Oryctolagus cuniculus: one gene and its partner. The protein of the gene in region 2 interacts with the protein of the main gene of each other region in a pairwise test. Links are inferred from orthologs where the notes say so. Each region holds a gene or a part of one and is shown on either strand. Other genes may lie near its edges. The genes, in order: EIF5 and DUSP12.

Region 1 (6,269 bases), on a different chromosome or scaffold from region 2:
CTCCAGGTCGTCACTGAGCGTCAGGACTTTCGCATGGTCACTGATCTCGTCCATTCTGCGCCTCTGAGCTTCCTCAGTTGTGTCCTCTCCCCAGTCGTCATCCTCCTCCTCCTCCTGTTTACAAAAGAAGACACTTGGTCAAGGGCATTAAAAATGTTTGCAGATGATGCCAAGTTAATGACATCAAATTCACTTTCTACCTCTAAAATAAATTAAGTTCTTCTGATTTTAAGCAACCAACAGTACCTGGGATCTGAAACACAATGCAACACACATCAACCGTATCCCAGGGCCTTCAACACTGCACTCACCACAGCATGTGGAGGAGGACTGATTTCATTTGGCGGCGGCGGCGGTGGTGTTTCACTGCTGGATACGGAGCCATTCTCCTTGTCTTTGCCCTTCCTGTTCTTCTTTTCCTTTTCTTTCTTCCCTGTAGCACTGTCACTATTCTCTACATGGAAACAGAATGAAATACAAGTTTAATCTCATAGCGAACATCTCAGTGCCCACCGTCCTGTCTGTCTGCTATGGATCACCCTCAGAAAACCAAACAAAACGCTTATAATTCTAGATTAGAGCCAGTGATATGGTGCAGCTGGTTAAAATGCTGCCTGTAATACAAGCATCTCACATGGGCGCCTTCCAATCCAACTCCCTGCTAATGCACCTAGGAAAGAAGTGGAAGATGGCCCAAAGCCTCTACACCCAGGCAGGACACAGTCCTGGCCACTGCGGCCACCTGTGGAGTGAACCACCAGAAGAGGATGTCTTTCCCTCTCAAACAAATCTTGAAAAATTCTATAGATCATACTTATCCCACTGTGTTTCAAAGCTGAGAAATTCAGTCTGAGAATGGAAAATCCTGGGAATCAATTGTTGGATGAGAATAGACATGAAGTGATGATGTCTCAAATGCCCAAGAAGTTCAACATAGGCCTTGTGACCTTGAACAAGGCTTCTATCTCAAACCAGCCTTCTCCAACACAGTTGAACACTGTTTAAGTCTATATAACGGCTTGTCTCACAGGAAAGAGAACACCGGAATAGGTTAGACTTCCTTGCTATAGCAAGCTCAAATTGTGTCAGACAGTTTTGACAGTCTGCCACAGAGTGTTGCTTGCAGTTTAAAGACCCTTAAATCTTAAGACAAGCTCTCCGTTTACCAAACAACACTAATCTTAAGTGTCTCATTCACCTTAAGATGGCCCATCTCAAAAGTTGATGGTATGGTGGAAAAATCTACTGTATTCAACTTTAATGGCACAAAAAAAAAAAAATAGTAGACTTTTCAAACATTTACATGTAATGCAACGTGGTGTTCCCATATTCCTTTTGCAACAGAAAATCTCCCACTTTGTTTCCAAGAAATTTTGTTAAAATCTTATTAGTGGGGCTAGTGCTGTGGCACAGCGGGTAAAGCCACCGCCTACAGTGCCAGCATCCCATATGGGCGCCAGTTCAAGACCTGGCTGCTTCACTTCCCATCCAGCTCTCTGCTATGGCCTGGGAAAGCTGTAGAAGATGGCCCAAGTCCTTGGGCCCCTGCACCTGAGTGGCAGACCTAGAAGCAGCTCCCGGCTTCGGATCAGCGACGGCCAACTGGGGAGTGAACCAGCAGATGGAAGAGCTCTCTCTGCCTCTCCTTCTATGTAACTGACTTTCAGATAAATAAATAAATTTAAAAAAAAAAATCTTATTAGTTTAGTATGAAGCCTTACCAGGTGGGTTTTTGAGAATGAACGTGCAGAGTTTATGATGTGTGTCAAGCATGCCTCGATAGCCACAGGCTTTACAAGAATTGCCTATTGTTTGCTTCTTCGGATTGACATGCTGGAAAAGGAAAAAAAACCATCATAAGAAATGAGAGACGGCGACCTACTTAAAAAAAATTGTAGGTGCGTTGTTTTCTAACAGCAAAGTGTGCCTTGCCTTCCCAGGAAAGGCAGTGCTACCACAGGATTGCTCAGAGGCAGGCAGATGGTTTTGTCTGTTCCAAACAAAAACCCTGCTGCATTCACTCACCAGATCTGTTTCAGGATTCTCACACTCAGGACAGAGAACAAATTTTTTAATGAATCCATCCAACATGTCTTGCAGCTTATTCGCCTCATGAGATCCATTGACAATGTAACGGTCATTCTTAACATCAAACTGGGTCTGTGCTCCCAGCTCACAACCAAAATATTTGGTGGGATCTATTTGGAGAAAAACAATTAGATTTGCCTCATTACAGTTAACTAAATGTCTGGCTGCTTGTTCATATCTTACACAAAAATCACTGTTTTTAAGTTGTTGGGCACAGAGCTAGTGGTGTAGGTAAAGCTGCCACCTGCAGTGCCAGCATTCCATATGGACGCCTGTTTGAGTTCCAGCTGATCCAGCTCTCTGCTATGGCATGGGAAAGCAATGTAAGGTGGCCCCTTGCACCCAACTGGGAGACAAGAAGCTCCTGATCAGCTCAGCTCCAGCTGTTGTGACCATTTGGGGAGTGAACCAGCAGATGGACAGCCCCTCTCTCTGCCTCTCAAATCTTTAAAACAAAAAAAATCGTGCTAAATCTAATGTGCTGCCCAGGTAATTTTGTGAACTTAAGACAACTATTACATTTGTTAGAGGTTCCACTCCTTACCCTTTCAACTAATTAGCAAAGAATTCGTAAATGTTTTTCAGCTTAAAGAGGATCAAGACAATATATATTCGTCATATACCTTTTCAGACTTCTCCAAGAAGCTTTACTTACACGTTGGAGGCCGATTAAGCGCCTTTGCAACGTCAACCATGTTGACTATAACTGTCTTGATTCCATTTCCTTTGCCCTCAACCTAAAGAGAACACGAACTTTATTTTTGCATTTAATCTACTTAAACATCTACAGTCTTCCTACAAAATCGAAGATCAGCATTACCTTGGCAATCAGACGGGGCATCTTGTAGCGATAGAACTGGTCTGACACGCTGCGGTTGACGTTGACAGACATTTTGGCTTATTAGTGGCTTTATCAATAAGATGAAGAGATCTTTGATTGCAACTTTTTGGTATCTTCTGTCTGGAGAAGAAGGGATGACATAAACGACTGCAAGAGTTCTCGGTCTCTGACATGAAAAAATTTTCGCCACTGAGGCTGCAAGCTTCTTGCTTGTATGCTATGTGTCCCCAATACAGGTACCAATGGCTGCGCAACAGCTCTGCAAGAGAAGCAAAGAACACACCCGATCCCCGCAGGTGTAACGTCACTCCCGCACCGACGGGCTGCCCGCGCCACACACAGCCCCGGACCCGGCGGGGCGCCTCCGACTCCCCGACCCCGCACGCCGCCGGCGACAGACGGGGCCTCCGCGCTGGCGACGCCGCGGCCCGGGCCCGGGAACGCCGGCCGCCGCCCGCGGAAGCCCGCCCCGCCCCCACCCGCCGGGGCGGCCAGCCCTGCCCCCCGAGCCGCAGTCCGGGGCCGAGCGGAGCGTTGGCGCCGCGGCGCCGGCTTACTCCAGCGTCCGGCCGCGGGCGCGAGGGCCCGCCCGGCCCCGCGCGCCTGACCTTCGGCCCCGCGCCCTCCGAGGCGCTCAGGGGCGCCGGGCCCATCCCGGGCCCGCCGCGGCGCCGGGGCCGCCGGCCACCCCCGCCGCGGGCGCGGTGACTCACAGATGCGGCAGCGCGCGCTCCCGCCGGCAGGGCAGAGGCCGCGCCGGCTGCGGGCCGCGGGCCGCCCGCCCCCCAAACTGCGCCACACGCCGCGGCGGGTCACGCGGCGGCGCCGCCATCTTGTGCGGCCGCCATCTCCCGTCCGCCCGCCCGCCCGCCCGCCCGCGACTCACCGTTTTCGTCAAATAAAGACATAAACCCAACGCTGCTCGCCCGGGACTGGGATGAAGTGAGGCGCGTCTCAACCCGAGTCCGAGTCCGGGGCGGCGGAGGCGGCGGAGCGGAGCGCAGCGCAGCGCGGGGAGCGGCCGGGCCAGGTGCCGCCGCCGAGCAGCGGGAGGGGCTGTCCCAGACGTCCGCGGTCGGGCAGCGCGGAGCGGCGACCTGGCGCGGAGAGACGGCGCCGTGAGCCGCGGCCGGGCGGGCGCGCCTGCCCCGCCAGCCAGCGGCCCGCGGGGTCGGGGGGCGGGGAGGGGGCGCGGGGCCGCCGCCCCTCCAGCGGACTCACCTCTGGAATGTTCTCGCTCTGACTGAACAACGCCGCCGCCGCGCTCAAGCTACCTTCGGCCCCAGCGCCCGCCCCTCGCGCTAGGCCGCACTACCGATTGGCCGGAGGCCCGCCCGAGCTCGCTTTTGATTGGCCTGCACGCCGCGTCAATCGCGCCCTCTCCCCGCCCCCTCTTCCTGAGGGTCCTGTCGCCGCTTCAGCCCGCCTCCAGCCGGGGTCCCGGCTTCCTTCCTCTCCCCTCCCCCCGCTTTTCCCAGTGGCCTTCGCGGCGCAGGCGCCAGATCTCGCGAGAGAGGGAGCGGCCGCCGCGGCGGAGCTTCGTCTAGTGGTTACGGCACTCTGGGAAAGATGGCGGTTGGTTCCCCTCCCCCGTCTGCCTGAGGCTGGGCCTGGGCCTGGCTCGGGCCTGCAGCGCTCCGGGCCGCTCCTCGCGGCGGCGCGCTCGACTAGGGGCCGGGCACTCGCCCGCCGGCCCCTGCCCGGCTCCTGGATCGCGAGTGCTGCCTTTTATCCGCCTCTTTGGGCCGAGTGGCCTCGGGGGACCCTGGCCCTTGGATGGGGCAGGCCAGGGACTTCGTCGCGCCGAGCCTGGCCGCTCCCCTCCCACACCGTGGCTCCCCGGTTTCAGAAGTGGAAACCTCGGACTCGCTCGTAGCGGGGCCTCCTGGCAGCGCCCCGCCTCGGCGCAGTGTCCGCTGCGCTGCCCCAGGCTTGGAGAGCCCCGACCCTCGCTGCCCCTCTGCCGCTTTGCCCCGAGTGACCGCCCGTCGCATGGGGCCCCGGGGTGACCAGGGCGGCTGTGGCGACAGGGCTCGCGTCTTGTTCTGCCGCAGCTTCCCTGTGCTTCCAGGAACTCGGGCTTCTGCGTCCGAGTCTGAGCTGGACTCGGACTGCTGGCTGCTTCCTGGCCGGGCTCCCCGGGTCCGCACCTGGAGTGGACAGCGTGGGTGTTAACCCGTGCAGTTTGCAAGCTTAGAGGCTTTTTTTTTTTTTTTACATCAAAGTGCAGGGTTACTCTTTTTTTTTTTAATTTATTTTTTTTTATTTAATGAGCATAAATTTCCGAAGTACAGCTTATGGATTACAATAGCTCCCCCCCCCCCCCCCCGTAACTTCCCTGCCACCCACAACGCTCCCCTCTCCCACTCCCTCTCCCCTTCCAGTGCAGGGTTACTCTTCCTGGTGTTGTGGGCTCTGTAAGCCGTTCGGCCCGCCTAGTGCGGGTTAGGGAGTAACTCGGCCGTGCTGGGCAGGGTCGCGGCGGCGCGTGACTGCAGGGTTGAGGCCGGTTGGCTCTGCGTGGCTGCCCACGCGTGACGTTATTTTAGAAACTCCTGGAAAGGAAGGGCGCGCAGCTCTCCTGGGGTAAGAGGCTTTGTCCTCAGGAAAGTTTTAAATAAATACAAGGCGCCTTTTTTCCCTTGCCCAGTTTGTAATAGTTTGAGCTCATTTTAAGTTCTGGTGTGTGGCACTCACAGCCACGTTGTGAGGCTCTCCCCGCGCCCTCGCAGCCGAGTGCTCTGGCGGCGCTATCTTACTCACTGCTAGACCCCAGGACAACGTTTATTCCCATTCTGCAAATGTGCGAACAGGCCTAGTGGAAAAATTTAAGCAACTTGCCCAAAGTCATACGAGGGTATTTAAACAGTAAGTCATGGAAAATTTTGACTGACACGTCTGGTGAAAATAAAATGTAGAAACCATGCATAGTTATTTTTGTAGTATGCATTTTCCATGAAATTTTTGAAGACCCCTTGTGTGCCTGGATTGCAGGCTTTTTTGTGACAAAACAACCTTTTAATTTCATTTTCTCACAAGCTGGACTCCCTCACAGACCCAGTGAAGGTCAGAGCTAGGATTTAGGCCCAGAGCTGCGGGGTCCCAAAGCCATCGCCTTGAACAGCAGGGGCGCAGCCCGCAGGCCCACGTGAACGCCGGCAGGCCTGTGCGGGGAGGCAGACCTGCGTGAACACCGGCAGGCCTGTGCGGGGCGTCCTCACGCTCATTTTACGGGCGAGGAGACTCGGGAAGGGGAGGCGGTGTTCCCGAAGTCGCCTGTCACTGTTTGAACTCCGGCTTGTGTGACGCCAGGCCTGTTGCACAATTCCGCCTCCCATGT
Region 2 (6,169 bases):
TCAAATCTGCAATTTCTGATCAGTGAATGTTTCATAAAACTGCATAATTTAGGGCCAGTACCGTGGCTCACTTGGTTAATCCTCTGCCTGCAGCACCGGCATCCCATATGGGTGCTGGGTTCTAGTCCTGGTTGCTCCTCTTCCAGTCTAGTTCTCTTCTGTGGCCCGGGAAGGCAGTGGAGGATGGCCCAAGTGCTTGGGCGCCTGCGCCTGCACCCGCATAGGAGACCAGGAGGAAGCACCTGGCTCCTGGCTTTGGATCGGCACAGCGGGGACCGTAGTGGCCACTTGGGAGGTGAACCAACGGAAGGAAGACCTTTCTCTCTGACTCTCTCTCTCACCGTGTAACTCTACCTGTCAAATATGTAAAAAAAAAAAAAAAAAAAGTTGTAAGTTAAGTAGTTTTCTCTCTCTCTCTCACAGTCTAACTCTACCTGTCACATAAGTAAAAAAAAAAAAAAAAGTTGTAAGTTGTTTTCTGTCTCTCTCACACTATCTAACTCTACCTGTCAAATAAGTTTAAAAAAAAAAACCTGTATAATTTAAATAGAGAAGTTAGGTTTCCCAAAATTGATCTGCACTGATAAATACCACTTATCTTTCAAAAAAGGTATTTTATCTGTCTCTCCCAGCTAGAACATCAGTTTGTTTATTTTATCACCTAGAACTGTGCACATAATACATCCTCAGGAAACATTTGCTGACAACTGTACATTCAAATCTATTTCTCTTGGTACTATATGCTACAATATATGATGGATAGACATTAACTTGAGCCACATGAAACTGCTGTTCCATTACTTTTTTCCTACAAAAGGGACAGTTTCATATGGTATAACCTGTTTAGTAAAAAGCTTTCCAGAGAACAGTATAAAGCAAAAAACTAGACAAAGTGTGTAAAAGCTAAAACAGAAATGGAGGGAATTCTTTTCTCACAAGAAAAATTACTCCATGAAAGTTGATAAAGGCTTCAGGTCTTAAAATTTTTCTCAAGGATCATCCATAACATTACAACACATGTCAAAAATTAAGCTAGATTTTTTTAAAAAGATTTATTCATTTGAAAGAGTAACAGAGAAGGAGAGGGAGAAACAGAGGCAGAGAGAGGGGTCTTACATTCACTGATTCACTCCCCAAATGGCCACAATGGCCAGGTCTGGGCCAGGCCAAAGCCAGGAGCCAAGAGCTTCATCTGGGTCTCCCATGTGGTTGCAAGAGGCCAAGACCCTGGGCCATCTTCTGCTGCTTTCCCAGGCGCATTATTAGGGAGTTGGATCAGAAGTAGAGCAGCCAGGATGTCAGCCCTGCAGGTGGCAGCTTTACCCACCATGCAACAGGGCCAGTCCCTATTCTAGATACTAAGAAGTTCATTATTTACACCTTATTTTACATTGAAAAATTATTCCCATTTTAGTTTTTACAATACAGACACATATTTCTCTTTATTAGCTAATTCTGATTTCATGTATATGTTCAAAATACCAAATTAGGTCCAATTTGCCCTATTAATAGTGAGTACAATTCTAGTTTCCAGAAATCAGGTTACAAAGTTGATCTAGATTTATTACTTTTTCCAATACTCAAATGTATTAGACTAAAAGAGTAACTGACATGTAATTCCACATTAATCTTGATTATTAAGACACATCTAACATTAAAGTATTTCTTTATGTAGATTGCTTTAAGAGGTATCTCAAACACACTTTTCTAAAAATGTAGATAAAATGTTTATTGGAGTGGGCACGGTGGCACAGTAGGTTAAGCTACCCATCCTGTATCAATGCCTGGATGAGTCCTGGCTATGCTTCTACTTCCAGCTTCCTGCTCATGCACAGCACGTGCTGGTTCAAGTCCTTGGGTCCCTGCTACCCATGCTGGAGACCCAGATGGAGTTTCAGGCACCTTGCTTCATCCTGGCCCAGCCTCAGCTGCTATAGGCATTTGAAGCATGAACCAGCAGATGGAAGATCTCTATCTTTCACTGTTTTACTCTGCCTTTCAAATAAATAAACTTAAGAAAAAAAAAAAAAAAACCTGCAGATAATTGGAATTTCTGAACAAGAAAAACATATTCTGTTTTACTAATAGCCTTTCTTTTACATTTACAAGAAAAATCTAGACATAAATAGGCTTACTAATTTCCCTTAAAAGAGAGAAAGCAAAATTTCAAAATACGAGGGTACTTCAAAAAACTCATGGAAAACTGGAATTAAGTTTCAGGGCAGCATTTGGCATAGTGGTTAAGATGCCATAGGAGACCTCCCCCATCCCGTATCAGAGCGCCTCAGTTTGAGTTCTAGCTCCACTTCCTATTCCATCTTCCTGCAAATGTAGGCTAAAGCAGCAGGTGACGATTCTGCCACTAATATGGGAGACATGGATTGAGTTTCTGGCTCTTGGATTAGGCTTGGCCCAGTTCCAGAAACTGCAAGCATCTGGAGAATAAACCAACAGATGGGAGATCTTTGTCTCTGTCTGCCTTTCAAATTAAATAAATAAATCATGACTTTTAAAAACATGAAACAAATGAAGTGTTAGTATCATAAAAGATTTTACTATCATATAAAATTTATATGACTAAAAAACTTTGATTGCTATGTATTCTACTTACATCACGTAATAACCTAATAACAGGGCAGTTTCTAGGTTACTTCATGGGATTTTTCCCTTTCACACTGCAATTGAAATGTTGATGGCCTACAAACTAGACAACCTGCAGTGAGTAACTGAAAGCCGGGGCAGCATGTATCTTCAGCAAGGTTCCTTCCAAGATAGCAGATGTCACAAGTTCATATTTTTCTTGTTTGTGATCCCAAAACTGGCAGCATTTTCTTTTCATCCACTCTGTTCTTATGTATTTGGAAAGCAGGTGTTATCCATCTTCCACATGAGCACTGTTCACCATACCAATTGAAGGAACCCAATTTGGCACTGCATTTTGGACAAAGCAGCTGAAATAAAAAGCCAATGTATTACTTCATTTATTCACTTTTATACAAAACAAATAATTTTCTTTGGCAATATAGGATATAAGCACAGGCAAACATGGCCCCTATCTTCAAGGAGTTTGTACTCTAATTGGTGACATTAAATACATGAGGAATTTGCTGTATTATAGATGGTGGACTACAATTACTGCCTAAGAAGTATGTTGTACTCGGGCAGCTTAGAGGAAGAACAGATGGATCCCAGCTTTAGGGGAGAAAGGTGACATTTGAAACTCAAGGATGGCTTCAAGAATGTGGCATACATACTAGGTTTTTAAATCAACGTGTAGGGGCAGGCACCTGACACAGTGGTTAAGACATCACTTAGAACAGCCACATCTCATCAGAGTGCCTGTTTTGAGTGCCACCTCTGCTTCCAATTCCAGCTTCCTGTTATGGGTACCCTAGAAGGCAGGTGATGGCTCAAGTAATTGGGTCCCTGCCACTCATGTGGGAGATCCAAATTGGATTCTGGGGTCTTGGCCCAGCCCTAGCTGTTGCAGGTATTTGGGGAGTAGACAAATGGATGAAAGATCTCTCTCTTTTGGTTCTAGTTCCAGCTGCTCCTCTTCCAATCCAGCTTTCTGCTATGGTCTGGGAAAGCAATAGAAGATGGCCCAAGTACTCAGGCCCCTGCACCTGCATGGGAGATCTGGAAGAAGCTCCTGGCTTTTGATCAGCCCAGCTCCGATTGCTGTGGCTATTTGGGGAATGAACCAGCAGATGGAAGACCTTTCTCTCTATCTCTCCCTCTCCGTCAGTAACTCTACATCTCAAATAAATAAATAAAATCTCAAAAAAAAAAAAACTACAACATGAATAAAGAATGGAAAAGATTATTAGGATTCTCATGTTTTATTACTGATAATGATAGCATGTAAGTCAGATTCCTAGTGACTTAAAAACAATCAACTGATATTCCAGTAAAACAGATAAATCAAAGCTTTAGTAAACTGTATTTTCTTTCAGTGCAGTTATCACATTTTTTAGGTTTAGTTCTATAATTTGTACATGGTAGGAAGTAGGAATTTTTGCTTTTAATATTAAACTACAGGAAGTCCAGATTTAAAGCCCAGAAACCACAAATGAAAAAATAGACTACACAGTATCTTAAATTTTATTACAAAATATACCAAAAATTTGAGATAAGTAATAGACTAGGGAAAATAATTCTATTTATTAAATGAAGCATCTACATCTAGAATATATACACAGCTCCTACAAATCAGTAAGAGTAAGAAAATTCATAGAAAATAGGCCAGGGATGGTAAAGCAGTTTACACAACAAGAAACTATAGATGGGGCGGGGGGGGATCGGCGCTGTGGCTGAGCGGGTTAACGCCCTGGCCTGGAGCCCCGGCATCCCATATGGGCATCAATTCTAGTCCCAGCTATTCCTCTTCTGATGCAGCTCTGTGGCCTGGGAAAGCAGTGGAAGATGGCCCAAGTCCTTGGGCCCCTGTGCCCGAGTGGGAGACCAGGAAGAAGCTCCTGGCTCCTGGCTTCGGATAGGTGCAGTTCCGGCCATTGCGGCCATCTGGGGAGTGAACCATCAGATAGAAGACCACTCTTTCTCTCTCTCTCACTCTCTCTGCCTCTCCTCTCTCTGTGTAACTCTGACTTTCGAATAAATAAATAAATAAAAAGCAACTATAGATGGCTGGTAAATGCAAAGATGTCATCCTCGGCTGTAGTCATGAAAAACGTAAGATTAATATTTTCATGATACAGACTGACAAAACTTCACCAGTTTTATATATAACTTGCCCAGGGTATGAGGAAATGGGTAGATATTCACTGTTGGTGAAAACTAAATTTGTATGAGCATTTTGAATGTCAGCCTGGAATATGATTAATATTTAAAATGTATACAGTCATAAAGCCAACAATTTACTTCTAAGTGTATACCATATAAGAAAACTCAAATATGTATACAAAGAAATACGCACAAATAGGGTTTAGAATCTTTCACAAAAATATCATGTGTTTGTATATTTTCCAGGTTAAATGAAAGCAGCAAGCCAAAAGCATAAGTCACCAAAGAGCAATATTACAGTTCACCAAAATCTGAAACAATCACTGTAAATACGATCATCAAGAATGGGAAATGAACGCTAATGGATATATCATTTTAAGGGTCATGAGAATAGCGACAGTTGCAAAAAACTGTGAATATACTAAAAGCTGTTGAATTCATTATTCTAAATTGGTGAACTGTATGGTATGTGAGTTATACTTTAACAAAGCTGTTTTTTTAAAAAGTAACAAAATCTGAAAATGTGCATTTGAATATAGGATACTGTTTTTAAGTAAAATACTCAGTAAATAAATGAAGTTTCCCCACATATAAAGTATGACTGTATCTGTTCTACCACCTTTATAAAGCCATTTTATTCCAATGACATGGAATAAGAGTTTCAATAAATATCCATTATAAAAACTTTTCTACAAACTTTTAAAATCACTATTAAAATTATTTCTATAGAATGCCTGCATATTAATATCAAAAACTTAAACCTAAAGAAAAAAGTGGCTGTCACAGGATGTTATGAGTTGTATTCTTGGACAGGAAATGAAAAAGAATCTCGTAACAAACATACTAAATTGAAAGATCAGAAAAAGAGAGAAATGCATGGAATTAAGAAAGAAAAAGAAAGGGAAGACATTTTAAACCAAATTTAAAAATTCCTGAGGTAACCTACTTGTTACAAAGTTCAAATTTTATAAGATATTAATTTGTTTTAAAGTAATATTTGTTTTATATTTGAAAAATATAAATAGACTTAAAAGAAACTTATTAACTTAGAGTAGCAACTCTCAACTACCATTTAAAATCAGCTGATCTTTAAAAATATTTATTTTTGACAGTCTGATCCACACTAGAAAAATATAATCTTCATAAAAGAAAGGGATTAAGATGGAATAAAACACTAGTTAAAATACAAAAAGGAAGAAAATACAGATTGTACAATGAAATTGTAGAAAAAATAAGAAATGTATTCTGACCTGCCCATCCATCACTCCCAACAAAGCAGATTCCATCCACTGTACAGGTTCAATGAAATAAGATGTACACTGAGTCCCTGTGGCAAGCATGAATGATGGTGCCATTCTCTTGTGGGCAAAAGCTATAGGTCCACTTCCTTCACTGTGACCCAAAATACTTGAACTTCGAAATAAGG

What was found.
Region 1: the proteins of DUSP12 (region 2) and EIF5 interact in binary tests that used the Homo sapiens proteins (3 or more experiments, as listed by UniProt). The two-hybrid records come from large-scale screens. The link is inferred for Oryctolagus cuniculus from reciprocal best matches to the Homo sapiens genes DUSP12 and EIF5.

Annotation. Positions count from the first base shown.
Region 1 is NC_091451.1:46,204,091-46,210,359, reverse strand, and holds the start of EIF5 (eukaryotic translation initiation factor 5), read right to left. Parts: upstream 4,290-6,269; 5' UTR 4,151-4,289; intron 4,027-4,150; 5' UTR 3,816-4,026; intron 3,189-3,815; 5' UTR 2,981-3,188; coding exon 2,909-2,980; intron 2,826-2,908; coding exon 2,744-2,825; intron 2,199-2,743; coding exon 2,026-2,198; intron 1,834-2,025; coding exon 1,722-1,833; intron 1,123-1,721; exon of another isoform or gene 997-1,122; intron 455-996; coding exon 312-454; intron 115-311; coding exon 1-114.
Region 2 is NC_091438.1:37,036,481-37,042,649, forward strand, and holds part of DUSP12 (dual specificity protein phosphatase 12), read right to left. Parts: coding exon 5,994-6,169; intron 2,952-5,993; coding exon 2,790-2,951; 3' UTR 1-2,789. UniProt on the Homo sapiens protein: Dual specificity phosphatase; can dephosphorylate both phosphotyrosine and phosphoserine or phosphothreonine residues. Can dephosphorylate glucokinase (in vitro).